Caenorhabditis elegans: one gene and its partners. The protein of the gene in region 1 purifies or fractionates together with the protein of each later gene. This does not show direct contact. Each region holds a gene or a part of one and is shown on either strand. Other genes may lie near its edges.

Evidence for each region.
Region 2: the proteins of chdp-1 (region 1) and K03B8.6 fractionate together in Caenorhabditis elegans (co-fractionation; one large-scale study listed by BioGRID). This does not show direct contact.
Region 3: the proteins of chdp-1 (region 1) and H39E23.2 fractionate together in Caenorhabditis elegans (co-fractionation; one large-scale study listed by BioGRID). This does not show direct contact.

What each region holds. Positions count from the first base shown.
Region 1 is NC_003279.8:6,283,293-6,287,045, reverse strand, and holds the start of chdp-1 (Calponin homology domain-containing protein), read right to left. Parts: upstream 2,074-3,753; 5' UTR 2,039-2,073; coding exon 1,673-2,038; intron 1,359-1,672; exon of another isoform or gene 1,147-1,358; intron 699-1,146; exon of another isoform or gene 474-698; intron 383-473; coding exon 224-382; intron 11-223; coding exon 1-10.
Region 2 is NC_003283.11:11,405,499-11,409,251, reverse strand, and holds the start of K03B8.6 (uncharacterized protein), read right to left. Parts: upstream 1,669-3,753; 5' UTR 1,668-1,668; coding exon 1,545-1,667; intron 1,358-1,544; coding exon 725-1,357; intron 670-724; coding exon 511-669; intron 208-510; coding exon 127-207; 3' UTR 1-126.
Region 3 is NC_003283.11:14,108,304-14,112,056, reverse strand, and holds H39E23.2 (T20D4.11-like domain-containing protein), read right to left. Parts: upstream 1,716-3,753; 5' UTR 1,697-1,715; coding exon 1,523-1,696; intron 1,263-1,522; coding exon 1,158-1,262; intron 937-1,157; coding exon 760-936; intron 304-759; coding exon 196-303; intron 150-195; coding exon 30-149; 3' UTR 11-29; downstream 1-10. Other genes in the region: H39E23.3 (Neurofilament heavy polypeptide-like), read right to left, coding at 2,006-3,753.

The DNA of each region.
Region 1 (3,753 bases):
CTGCTCCTGGCTGTAAATTTTAATTTGTTTTCATGATTAAGATCCCTCACTTAATTAACTCATATAATAGATCTCAAAATATTTCCGAATTCCGATCAATGTCGGAACGGAAATACCGCTAATTGATAATGCACCTTCCGACCTATTTGCATATCACTTATCACATTTTATCATCATCATCATTACCCCATATATTCTTATCAGAAAAGTGAAATTAACATACCTCAAGAGCGTTGGCCAGCTTGGCGAGGACATCTCCATCTTTGAAGAATCCAATGAATTGGTTGCGAGTCGTGGCCTGATCTTTTCCCGGAATGGTCTTTCGCTCTCCTTCCTCTGGGATAGCTGTCTTCTGAACCCAGTCGATAACCTGGTAGTTGGCCTGAAAAATAAAACTTTAATGACCAAAATAAGAATCCGAAAAAAGAACGTTCCAATGTAATTTGTTTTCTCAGTGCAAAAAAGACGCAAATATCCAATACCAGTTCTTTCTGCTATAATCCCATGAGAGCACTCTCAATGTTGCAAGCCTCCATATAAGAGATCATTCTCATTCGTGCTGGACAAGAAAGACGGCAACCACTAAAACAGAAGTGCGTTTGCATCAGAATTAAGAAACAAAGAAAGGAGGAGCAGAGCAGCAGCGCGGTTCAACCAATGAGTTCCTTTTTTTTTGGGAAAGAAGATGCAAAAAGGACGAATTCATCTTGTGTACCAACAAAAAATGGCTGTCGAACTGAACCAGCAATTGTTCAGGATTAATGTCTAGGGAAATTGACCCAATTTTTTGTATAGCTTCTAAACTTTCTTCTCTCAAAATTCCTGCGAAATTCAGACTTTAAAAGAGATTTCATACATGCTAATCTTTGTGAATCTCATTGTATAAAACAGATGTTTCGAAATTATGATGAAATATAAATACTTTTCGTCATGTATTTTTGTTTCCGTTTCCATGGGGATTATTTTTGTGAGTATTCAAAATTTAAAGTCGAATCACACATCTTTTTATTTCTAATTCGTGTAAATATCCTGGTCACCAGACAACATCGATTTTATAACTTTTACGAACGTCTGTCAATTTCTAGGATATCTACAATATCTGCCTCTCATTATCCTAAAGAGTTACGCAATAGCGAATCCGGTGCGCGCGCACACACAGTTAGTTACATTACAACACCATTCTACGGGGTCTGCAGCAATACGAGCGTCGGAACGAGGAAAGATTGGCACAGCTGCCCTTTTACAGAGTGCCGACGCACATCGCCAATCTCGCCGGCGCGATCAAACAAAAAACCTTGCAAATACCAATGAGCGATACATTGCAAATGTTGATGAATAGACTTAATGAACTTGTGAAGGAGTAGGGGAAAATGCACTTGTTCCAAACTTTTTTGTGAGCTCAGGATCAAATTTCAGATAGGTTCTTGTTAGTTAAAAGTACTTATGCATCGTTTTGGCCAATTCCTAGAAATTTTTAGGCATTCCAATGAATTCACCTATGATTCTTAAAAAATCGAACTGCGGTAATTTGAATTCAAAGGTAACTGGTGAGAATGGGGGCTAATCGGAAACAGCTGTTATGCTAGGGTGAATACTAAACCTGCGTTTCGGTTGCTCTAGCGAGAATACCATCTGCCCTGAATCGTTTTAGTTATTTTGAAAGTATTCTTACCTTGTGAACAGCCTGTGGAATCTGTTGAGCAATCCATCCGAGAACGTCTTCCTTTGGATCCTTTGGTGCTTCTGGCTCTTTTGGAGTGGATGCTTCCGCATCACGGTGCTTTCCCCATCTCTTGTTGAAAGTGAAACGCCGAGCAACACCTCCAGACTTCTTTTTCTCTTCTGGAGCTGCAGCAGCAGCGGTGGCAGTTTCTCCTTCTGCAGCAGCTGGGGCAGCAATCTCAGCGACAGCTTCTTCTACTTTTGGTGCTTCTTCAGTAACTGGTGCTGGAACATCGACTGGTGGTTCGGTGGTTGGAACCTTTGGAGCCTTGTCTTGCTCGGCGACCTCCTCGATCTTCTTGATTTCCTCAGACATAGTTGATGTGTTGGTTAGTGACGAGAGAACTGAGACTGAAAGAAACTCATTAATTTTCGAGGTATTCGGAGAAACAAAGAGCTAAAAATGGAGAAAAAATACGAGAGAAATAGACGAGTTGGAGAGGAGAATAAGAAAAATGAGAAAATGGAATGGGGAAAAACAGAAGACTACCATGAAAGTCAACTCAATTACGGGGGTAATCGAATAGAGTCTCCAGTAGCGAGCCGCTAGTAAGCCGGGGTAGCACATTTTGGTAGGCAAAAGACAAAACCGGAATGAGCAAAAGCTTCTCTCTCGCTTGGACACTAATTGCACCCGTCTCTGTCGAGGACTCATTTTCTATTCTAGAACCGTCTCCAAGAATGGGGTTTTAGTGGATATAGATGAGAAGAACAAAAAAAGACGAAGAACTCAAGTGAGACAATGTAAAAAGAAAGAGAAGACGATGTTATAGTAGGGACAATAATGTAAGACTGATTGTGTGAAGAGACTAGATGGTACGCGGAACGCTGAACGCTGCGGGGGCTAGAACAGTCAATCGATGCTCAAATTGCGGGAAAAGGTCATGAAGAGAAAATGCGCGTTTAGGTTATGATTTAAAAAGAAGAACTAGTCATATGCGACTTGAATTGAATCGAAGAATAATGCTAACGAGATAAGAAGCGCTCACTTTTCCTGGAAAACATTCGTCTGGACGAAAAAAGGCAATAAATGTAGGAAGGTAGAGTACTAGAAGGCTTAAGAAAAGAAACCAAAAGAGCCTTTCACTATTCTGGAATAACCGGTTCTTACTCAGCAGGTGAGGTGGCGAAAAAGGGTCATTCAATCTCCTTTTTTCCTCTATTCACATTCATTTCATAACGACAATAAGTGTGTCAAAAAGACTATTCAGACGAGAGAAAGAGACGGTATGAGATGAGAGGCGAGGGTCCACTAACACCATTTACCTTTTTGAATGGTCTACCTCCGTGTCATTTGATATATCGAACCGCCGCCCGCCCCCTATTTGCTCTCGATTCTGATTCAGTCGTTGCTGTTCTCACCTACACTAAATTTAAAAATGAAGCAAATAGAAGTGAAATGAACAGAAGTCCGAACTTCAGAGCATGAGTCATTCATGATTTCGAAATGAGAAACATAGGAAACATAGATTACGAAATCGAGAAAAAGGCGGAGTCAAAAAGAGAACAAGAAATGTCCAGAAAAGACGAATGGAATGGATGTGGGCGACGAAATGAATGAATATGAGAGCAGGGGTATTGCACACATTTTGCAGTGAAAAAGAGGACAAGGCCAGTGGTCCAATCGTCAACCATTACCAGCACCATCACCACACCACCCAACCGCAATGATGCACACAGTGGCAGCAGCCACCGAAACGTCCCTTTCCATTGCGGCAGCAGCAGCGGCAAATGTGTCCCTCTCCCGTCTCTCATAGCGGACGGAAAATTTGGGCGGAGTCTACTGACTTGTGGGGCGGGTGTCCGCGCTGGATGGATGTTTGCGTGTGCTGCTTGAGTGATGAAATTGAAAACAGATAATTTTTGAAGGTTCACAATCGAATGTAACCATGACAACCAAAATTACTGGGTATTTGAGAGTTGAAAGCATTGCATCGAGTTCATACCAATAAAAAGGTTGAAGAATTATTTAGCGCTATTTTATCGGATGATAGAACGGAATTATCTAAAGCGGAAACAATTAGTACGGTA
Region 2 (3,753 bases), on another chromosome or scaffold:
AAAAAACAAATAAAGCAAAAAAGCAAAATCGATCGATCTTAAGATTGAGAAGGAAACGAATGAAAGGATCAGATCATCGGAAATGGGAGAGATTTGATAGAAAGGCATGAAGACAGATTGAGCAGATCATCTAGTTTGACATCCGACAAATTCAGACAGTTTCAGCGGATATTCTTGTACTACTTTGAACTTCTTCGTGTTGTAAACCTGAAAAATTAACATAAAAGATCGATTTATATTTCAACAGCAAAGTTGGAATCCTATTGAAAATTGTTACTATAGAGTCGCTATCGAGAGAGTTATGAATGCTCTAAAAGCTGATACGTATGCTGAACTCAAGATATAAATTTTCCCGATAATTTCGGCAATTGGCGTTCTCTGAAAATTTAAACTTATCGGAAATTGACGGGGCTGCCGATTTTCGTAAATATAAGTACTGTTTAATTGAGAATATCGCCAGCGGAAAAAAGTGGCCGACTGCCGAAGATTTTAATATTGCGGAAAGAATACCTTTAACTTGTTTGTCTTGGTGTACATCAAAAGTGTTTCTCCAGCTCCGTTGTACACGATTCCCAGTAGATCCCTTGGCAGATTTGGGAAATACTTGCGTGTGTGGCCTGTGAATGTGGCTAAGTTCCAGTATGCGTCGTAGATGATGAAGTGTTCACCCTGAAATCATTTCAACCATGACAAGAAGGTTTTCTTAAGATTGATATCAACTCACACTGAGAACAACTTGATTTCCATCGGCCCATTCAAATGCTGACAATGGATGGATTGTGATGTTTCGGGGAAGATCTTGTGGGGTATTTTTCGCCAGCTGGAATCTACGATGTTTTCTGTTCCAACGGAATCTGTATGCAGTTCGTCCATCAAAGAGAATTGTGACTCCAGATCGAGAATTTGTCAATGCGGCGGTCACAGTTCTCGGTCCTCCAGCAAAGAATTCACTGATCAAGTAAGACGCTTTTTGTGGAAGTCCGTCTTCAAACCAAATTTGATAAACCCTTTCGCGAGCAAAAACATAGGTTCTTCCATTGATTCCCTTTGTAATTGCATCGAATTTTTCAGGACAGACATCAAATGACAGAGCCATTGCTTTCTTTGGAACTTCAGCTTCTTTCTTTTTCGGAACAACATGAGTGATTCTCCATGGAGCAAGGATCAAGTCACGACGTTCACGTCCAAGGACGACTTTCTGCTGACGATGCTGCTTGTTTTTTCTACGACGGACTGTTGGATCTTGTCCACTGGCACGAATCATTTCCCATTTGGTCTGACTATTCATACGTGGCAAAGTTGGAACTTCTTCCGAATTTACTTCGTATTGAGGTGCGTCATCTTTGTCGTCGATCATCTAGAAAATAAGTAATATAACATTTGTTTAAAATTAGAAAATTCCTTCTATAAGAAGGCTGCAACAATAAAATAAAATAAAAAAAAACAGAGACTTCGCTAGTTCACTTCTAAATTTCGGACAATGTATTTCTTCTTCAGATTACTAGTTTTCACTCATTGAAGCAAATTTTTTGAAAAGAGCTTACTATTGGATCCGATTCGTGTTTGTAATAGGTGTCTCCAATTTCTGAATTGACCATTTTGTCCACGAATCGACTCTCCACCGTTGTCACCAGTATCAACAGCAATACCACCAGTGGCTTCCTCATTCTGAAGTTAAAATAATGTTTCTTCATAAATATTTTACAATGAAGAGAGGGCACGGAAAAATGAAAAAGACAACATGGTTTCCTCCAGACAGACTCAAACCACGCCTCTTTCATACACACGGCCAACACACATTGAGATGGTGTCAGGCAAAGTGTCAAGTAGAGACAATGTTTGAGATGAAGAGACAGAGAACATAGAAGAGGTATGTGGCAGATGAGCATTTTTTAAATTGAGAAAAGGCGAGAACGAGCAAGATAGTTTCAAAGGACAGAAAAGGAGGAAAAAAGTGAGGTCGAACGGAAAACTTTTAAAACTTTCAAACATGAAAAGGAAGAATATTTGAGCAAATAGGTTTGATAAAAATTTGATACAGTTAGGAAAAAAGAAGAAGATGCCCTTAAAATCAATATTGTATTTTATCTTATATGAAACTGAACCCGCTGAGTTGTGAATTTCGGACTATTACGATCAGATGTTTCACATCCTACGTTTCAAGTTCTATTTGTCATATTCTTTTTCTTAAAACCTCTGCCCTTCCAACAGTCTAGAGTAAAGTTACAAAAAGAATCCTTGATGACACATTTCTCACTCCTAACCTTCAATATCCCCGTTGTTAAAAAGCAAGCAACGTAAACATTTTTCCATTATCTACCATCGGCTACCATTTTATTTTTACAAATTTACGATCAAAAATAGATTTTTCTAAACAAAATCATGAGATATCGTCTGGGACATCAAAGTAATATAGCCGACGGCAATTTGCAAAATATGAGAAATATGAGAAGATCAAGAGAGGTATGAAACCACAACGTCTGCATTAACAAGTACCCCTATTTTGCATAACACGAGATTACGATACGTGCGCAAAGAAAACGAAAGAAAAGGACAAGAATAGAAGAGATGAGGATGGTAAATGTGTGAAAAACGGTTGAATTACCAAGTCAAGTAGGTTGAAGAAATGATTTCTTACGAGAAAATGTTGGGTATGACATCTTGCAAATGTCTAGACTTGACTTGAAATAGTAAAAAGGGTCAAAAAATTAAATTTTCATGCGAAGTGCTTTTTATGTTTATTGTACATGGTTTTTACGAAAACGATGTTCAAGTGATATTTTGAATATATTTTCTGTGTTTTAGATAATTCTAAAAACTTTTTTACGACTTTTTCCATAATTTTTGTATACGTTCATCTGAATGAATATGAAATTTCAAAAAGAAGAACTCTAAAGGATCAAACACCACAGTCTATGAAAGTTTGAATAGAGAATAACATTGATATTTTTCCCCATTACTCTCATTTCAACTCCATACATATCTCTTTCTTTCCCGTTGCTCTTCAACTTTTCTTTCTGATTTGAACGTGTTTGCGATACAAAAGAGCCGGGAGGTCTTCCTCGCCGCTGAGACAGTCGCCACCCGCCACATGAAATTATTTGTTCAAATTATGCCTTGTACAATAAGTGTGCGGCTCCTTGTTCAACCATGACACTTTTGTTTTCCGAAGAACAGAGTGGCTCATGCATCGGTCGTGGGGCAAGTCGGCTGAACACTGACTGAAAAGCTTGGCTCGGCGCGTGAAGTGTGCTCATCAGGAATGACGAGTTGCTCTTTTGTAACTCTCCGACAACATGTCTTTTGACTTTTTTGAAGGAAAGTCGGCATCAATACACACACACAAAAAGAGATATGGTGATTATCTGGCTCTCACGTCCACTCGTTTGCAAAAGCGGTGTTGGTTGCCATAAAAGGTTGCTCACACGATTTACTGTAGTATTGCAAAAGAACAATCAAAAAGTGCAAAGTAAACGTGCGTTTTTGAATCTATCCATTTGAAATAAAAGGTCGGGACTGGAGATGAACAGAAAGGACGGTAAAAAGAAAGAAATGAAAGAAAAACTTGTGGAATAGGGTAATGGTCAGTTTTCGGAAAAGTTGCAACGTAAGCGTCTATGAAAATGATTACCGAGAAGCTTATATTTTATCATTGAAAAACACCACTCGTACTCCTATTTTCCAAAAAAAATACTCTGACAGGCGATTCGGGTAAGGTCGTTTTGAACAGTGTGAACATACTTCCAAAACAAA
Region 3 (3,753 bases), on another chromosome or scaffold:
ATGAAGAATTGTAAATTATTAAATGTTTATTATTCTATTTCTACAGAACTTCCAACTAGATCCGTCGCATTGTGATCCTTCAAATCTTCCATGTCTTTGAACTTCAATCGCCCATCGCAACCCAAATTGAACATACGAGAATCTTGATGCTGGAACGGATTTTAATTTTAAATGTAGAATAAATATATTGGAAACCTCTTTAAATATCGGTAGAAAATTCGGTTCACAGTAATTTTTAACGTCCGGTAGAAGACAATTTCCTAAATCCTGGGCTATCTCGCAAGTCCATTTCCTTGTCGGAGTCTGAAAATAGGACGTTACAATTGCTTTTTTAAATTTGGGAAAATGTGGGGCTTCATTGGGTCTCACCACGATCTCAATTCTGCGAATTTCACAAAAATACACAAATTACTATTAAACATTTTCAAAATACCGTGATGAGTAATTGAAGGCGCACAGGTTTATTTGGATGGGTCTCGCCACGAGAAAAATTTCAAATAACAAATTTTTTCTCGCGGCGAGAACCTACCGAATAAATCGGTGTGTTTTTAAGTGCAAATATCAGAAAATGGAAAAATTACAATATCGTCCGTTTGCGGAAACGTGACAGTAAGTGATAAATATTCCATAATAAATTCATGTTTTCTCTGTACATTTCAGAAATTGACATTTCAAAAACTCCACTTTCCACATCAACTACGCAAGTATCTAAAATTAGGCACAAATCGTGGTGAGACCCACTCAGATAAATGCACTCACCGCATCCAAGTGTTCCTTCACGCAAGACGATAACTTGTCTGGGAAATTCTTTGCAACATCTCTTAAAGTAGAATAGCAAAAGCTCATTGGACCAATATTGAATGCATCATGAGAGCATCTATCCAATGTCTCAAATAGGACAAAGTCCTTGTAGCATTTTGTATTTTCCATACAGGTCTGAAATAAGACGTGACTCAATTTAAATTAGTTGTTCAATCATTTTAAATTAGCCAAAAACATTGTTGAATTTCCGTACTTATACGATTGCTTTGTTAAAAAAACAATATCTTCTAATGTCGGTGCAAAAACCGCGGAGCGGTTAATTTATTTCGGTACTTCATCAATAACATTTCAATTTTCATCAGAATAAGGTTCCAGAAAAGTACTCATGACCTTACATAATACTTATCACAATGTGCTGTCAATTCTGTCATATTCCACGTTTTCGTTTGTTCGGGATACCAAGAGATCGATGTTCTTCGGAACCATGATTTCATTCCTTCCTGGAAAATGGAAATTATAGAGCTTTTTGAATTGTTTGTTTTAATAATTATGGGTCGAATTTAATTTAGTTAGATTACTTTTAAATTACTGTATGTAGGGTGTTGTGTTACAACAGCGATACACTTACAACAGTTAACACGAAATTGCAATTTTGAACTTTTGAAGCTCAAAACTAGCGATATTGTTGATGTAATTCAATTCTCTCGCAACAAAATTTGAAAGATTCATAACTATTTCTATTGTCAAATGGAGAACGAACCCAGAACCAGCACCGACTAACTGCATTCCTTCCAACTGGATCATCCTGTTGCAAACAGGAAACTTTCAGACGATTCTTTTCATACCAGTCATGTCTATGTCCAGTCCGGAATGCACATTTCAAAGAGGGCACAAGTAAAAAAATAAGAAATATAATAGTTGATGAAAACTTCATTTTTTGAATATGAAATCTTCGAGGAGAGTGGAGAAATCGGATGCCAAAAGATTGGAAATCAAATGTTAAGAACAGCTGTTTTCTTGAAAATTTGATGTAAACAGCATGATGAATCTGACTGAAAATGAACCTGAGCAATGGAGAACATAGATTAAAAAGCTATTTTCAATTTAGTTTGTTTGTATTTTTCGAAAACACTACAACGTAGTTGTGAAAAATGAGTTTATTACAGAACTATATGCACAATAACATTTCATACATGTTTTTATTAATTCAAAAGATACTTTCTCGTCGAAGTTCCATATCGAGTTAATGTGGTAGTGGAACCTTGTCAGCAGATTCAGTCTTTGGCTTATCAGCTTCTCTCTTGACTGGGGCCTTCTTCTCAGAATCAGCAGATTCAGTCTTTGGTGGATCAGCTTCTCTCTTGGCTGAAGCCTTCTTCTCGGAATCAGCAGATTCAGTCTTTGGCTTATCAGCTTCTCTCTTGGCTGGGGCATTTTTCTCGGAATCAGCAGATTCAGTCTTTGGTGGATCAGCTTCTCTCTTGGCTGGGGCCTTCTTCTCGGAATCAGCAGATTCAGTCTTTGGCTTATCAGCTTCTCTCTTGACTGGGGCCTTCTTCTCAGAATCAGCAGATTCAGTCTTTGGTGGATCAGCTTCTCTCTTGGCTGGGGCCTTCTTCTCGGAATCAGCAGATTCAGTCTTTGGCGGATCAGCTTCTCTCTTGGCTGGGGCCTTCTTCTCGGAATCAGCAGATTCAGTCTTTGGTGGATCAGCTTCTCTCTTGGCTGGGGCCTTCTTCTCGGAATCAGCAGATTCAGTCTTTGGCTTATCAGCTTCTCTCTTGGCTGGGGCATTTTTCTCGGAATCAGCAGATTCAGTCTTTGGTGGATCAGCTTCTCTCTTGGCTGGGGCCTTCTTCTCGGAATCAGCAGATTCAGTCTTTGGCTTATCAGCTTCTCTCTTGACTGGGGCCTTCTTCTCAGAATCAGCAGATTCAGTCTTTGGTGGATCAGCTTCTCTCTTGGCTGGGGCCTTCTTCTCGGAATCAGCAGATTCAGTCTTTGGCGGATCAGCTTCTCTCTTGGCTGGGGCCTTCTTCTCGGAATCAGCAGATTCAGTCTTTGGTGGATCAGCTTCTCTCTTGGCTGGGGCCTTCTTCTCGGAATCAGCAGATTCAGTCTTTGGTGGATCAGCTTCTCTCTTGGTTGGGGCCTTCTTCTCGGAATCAGCAGATTCAGTCTTTGGCGGATCAGCTTCTCTCTTGACTGGGGCCTTCTTCTCAGAATCAGCAGATTCAGTCTTTGGCTTATCAGCTTCTCTCTTGACTGGGGCCTTCTTCTCAGAATCAGCAGATTCAGTCTTTGGCTTATCAGCTTCTCTCTTGGCTGAAGCCTTCTTCTCGGAATCAGCAGATTCAGTCTTTGGCTTATCAGCTTCTCTCTTGGCTGGGGCCTTCTTCTCGGAATCAGCAGATTCAGTCTTTGGTGGATCAGCTTCTCTCTTGGTTGGGGCCTTCTTCTCGGAATCAGCAGATTCAGTCTTTGGCTTATCAGCTTCTCTCTTGACTGGGGCCTTCTTCTCAGAATCAGCAGATTCAGTCTTTGGCTTATCAGATTCTCTCTTGGCTGGGGCCTTCTTCTCGGAATCAGCAGATTCAGTCTTTGGCTTATCAGCTTCTCTCTTGACTGGGGCCTTCTTCTCAGAATCAGCAGATTCAGTCTTTGGCTTATCAGATTCTCTCTTGGCTGGGGCCTTCTTCTCAGAATCAGCAGATTCAGTCTTTGGCTTATCAGCTTCTCTCTTGACTGGGGCCTTCTTCTCAGAATCAGCAGATTCAGTCTTTGGCTTATCAGATTCTCTCTTGGCTGGGGCCTTCTTCTCAGAATCAGCAGATTCAGTCTTTGGCTTATCAGCTTCTCTCTTGGCTGGGGCCTTCTTCTCGGAATCAGCAGATTCAGTCTTTGGCTTATCAGCTTCTCTCTTGGCTGGGGCCTTTTTCTCGGAATCAGCAGATTCAGTCTTTGGCTTATCAGCTTCTCTCTTGGCTGGGG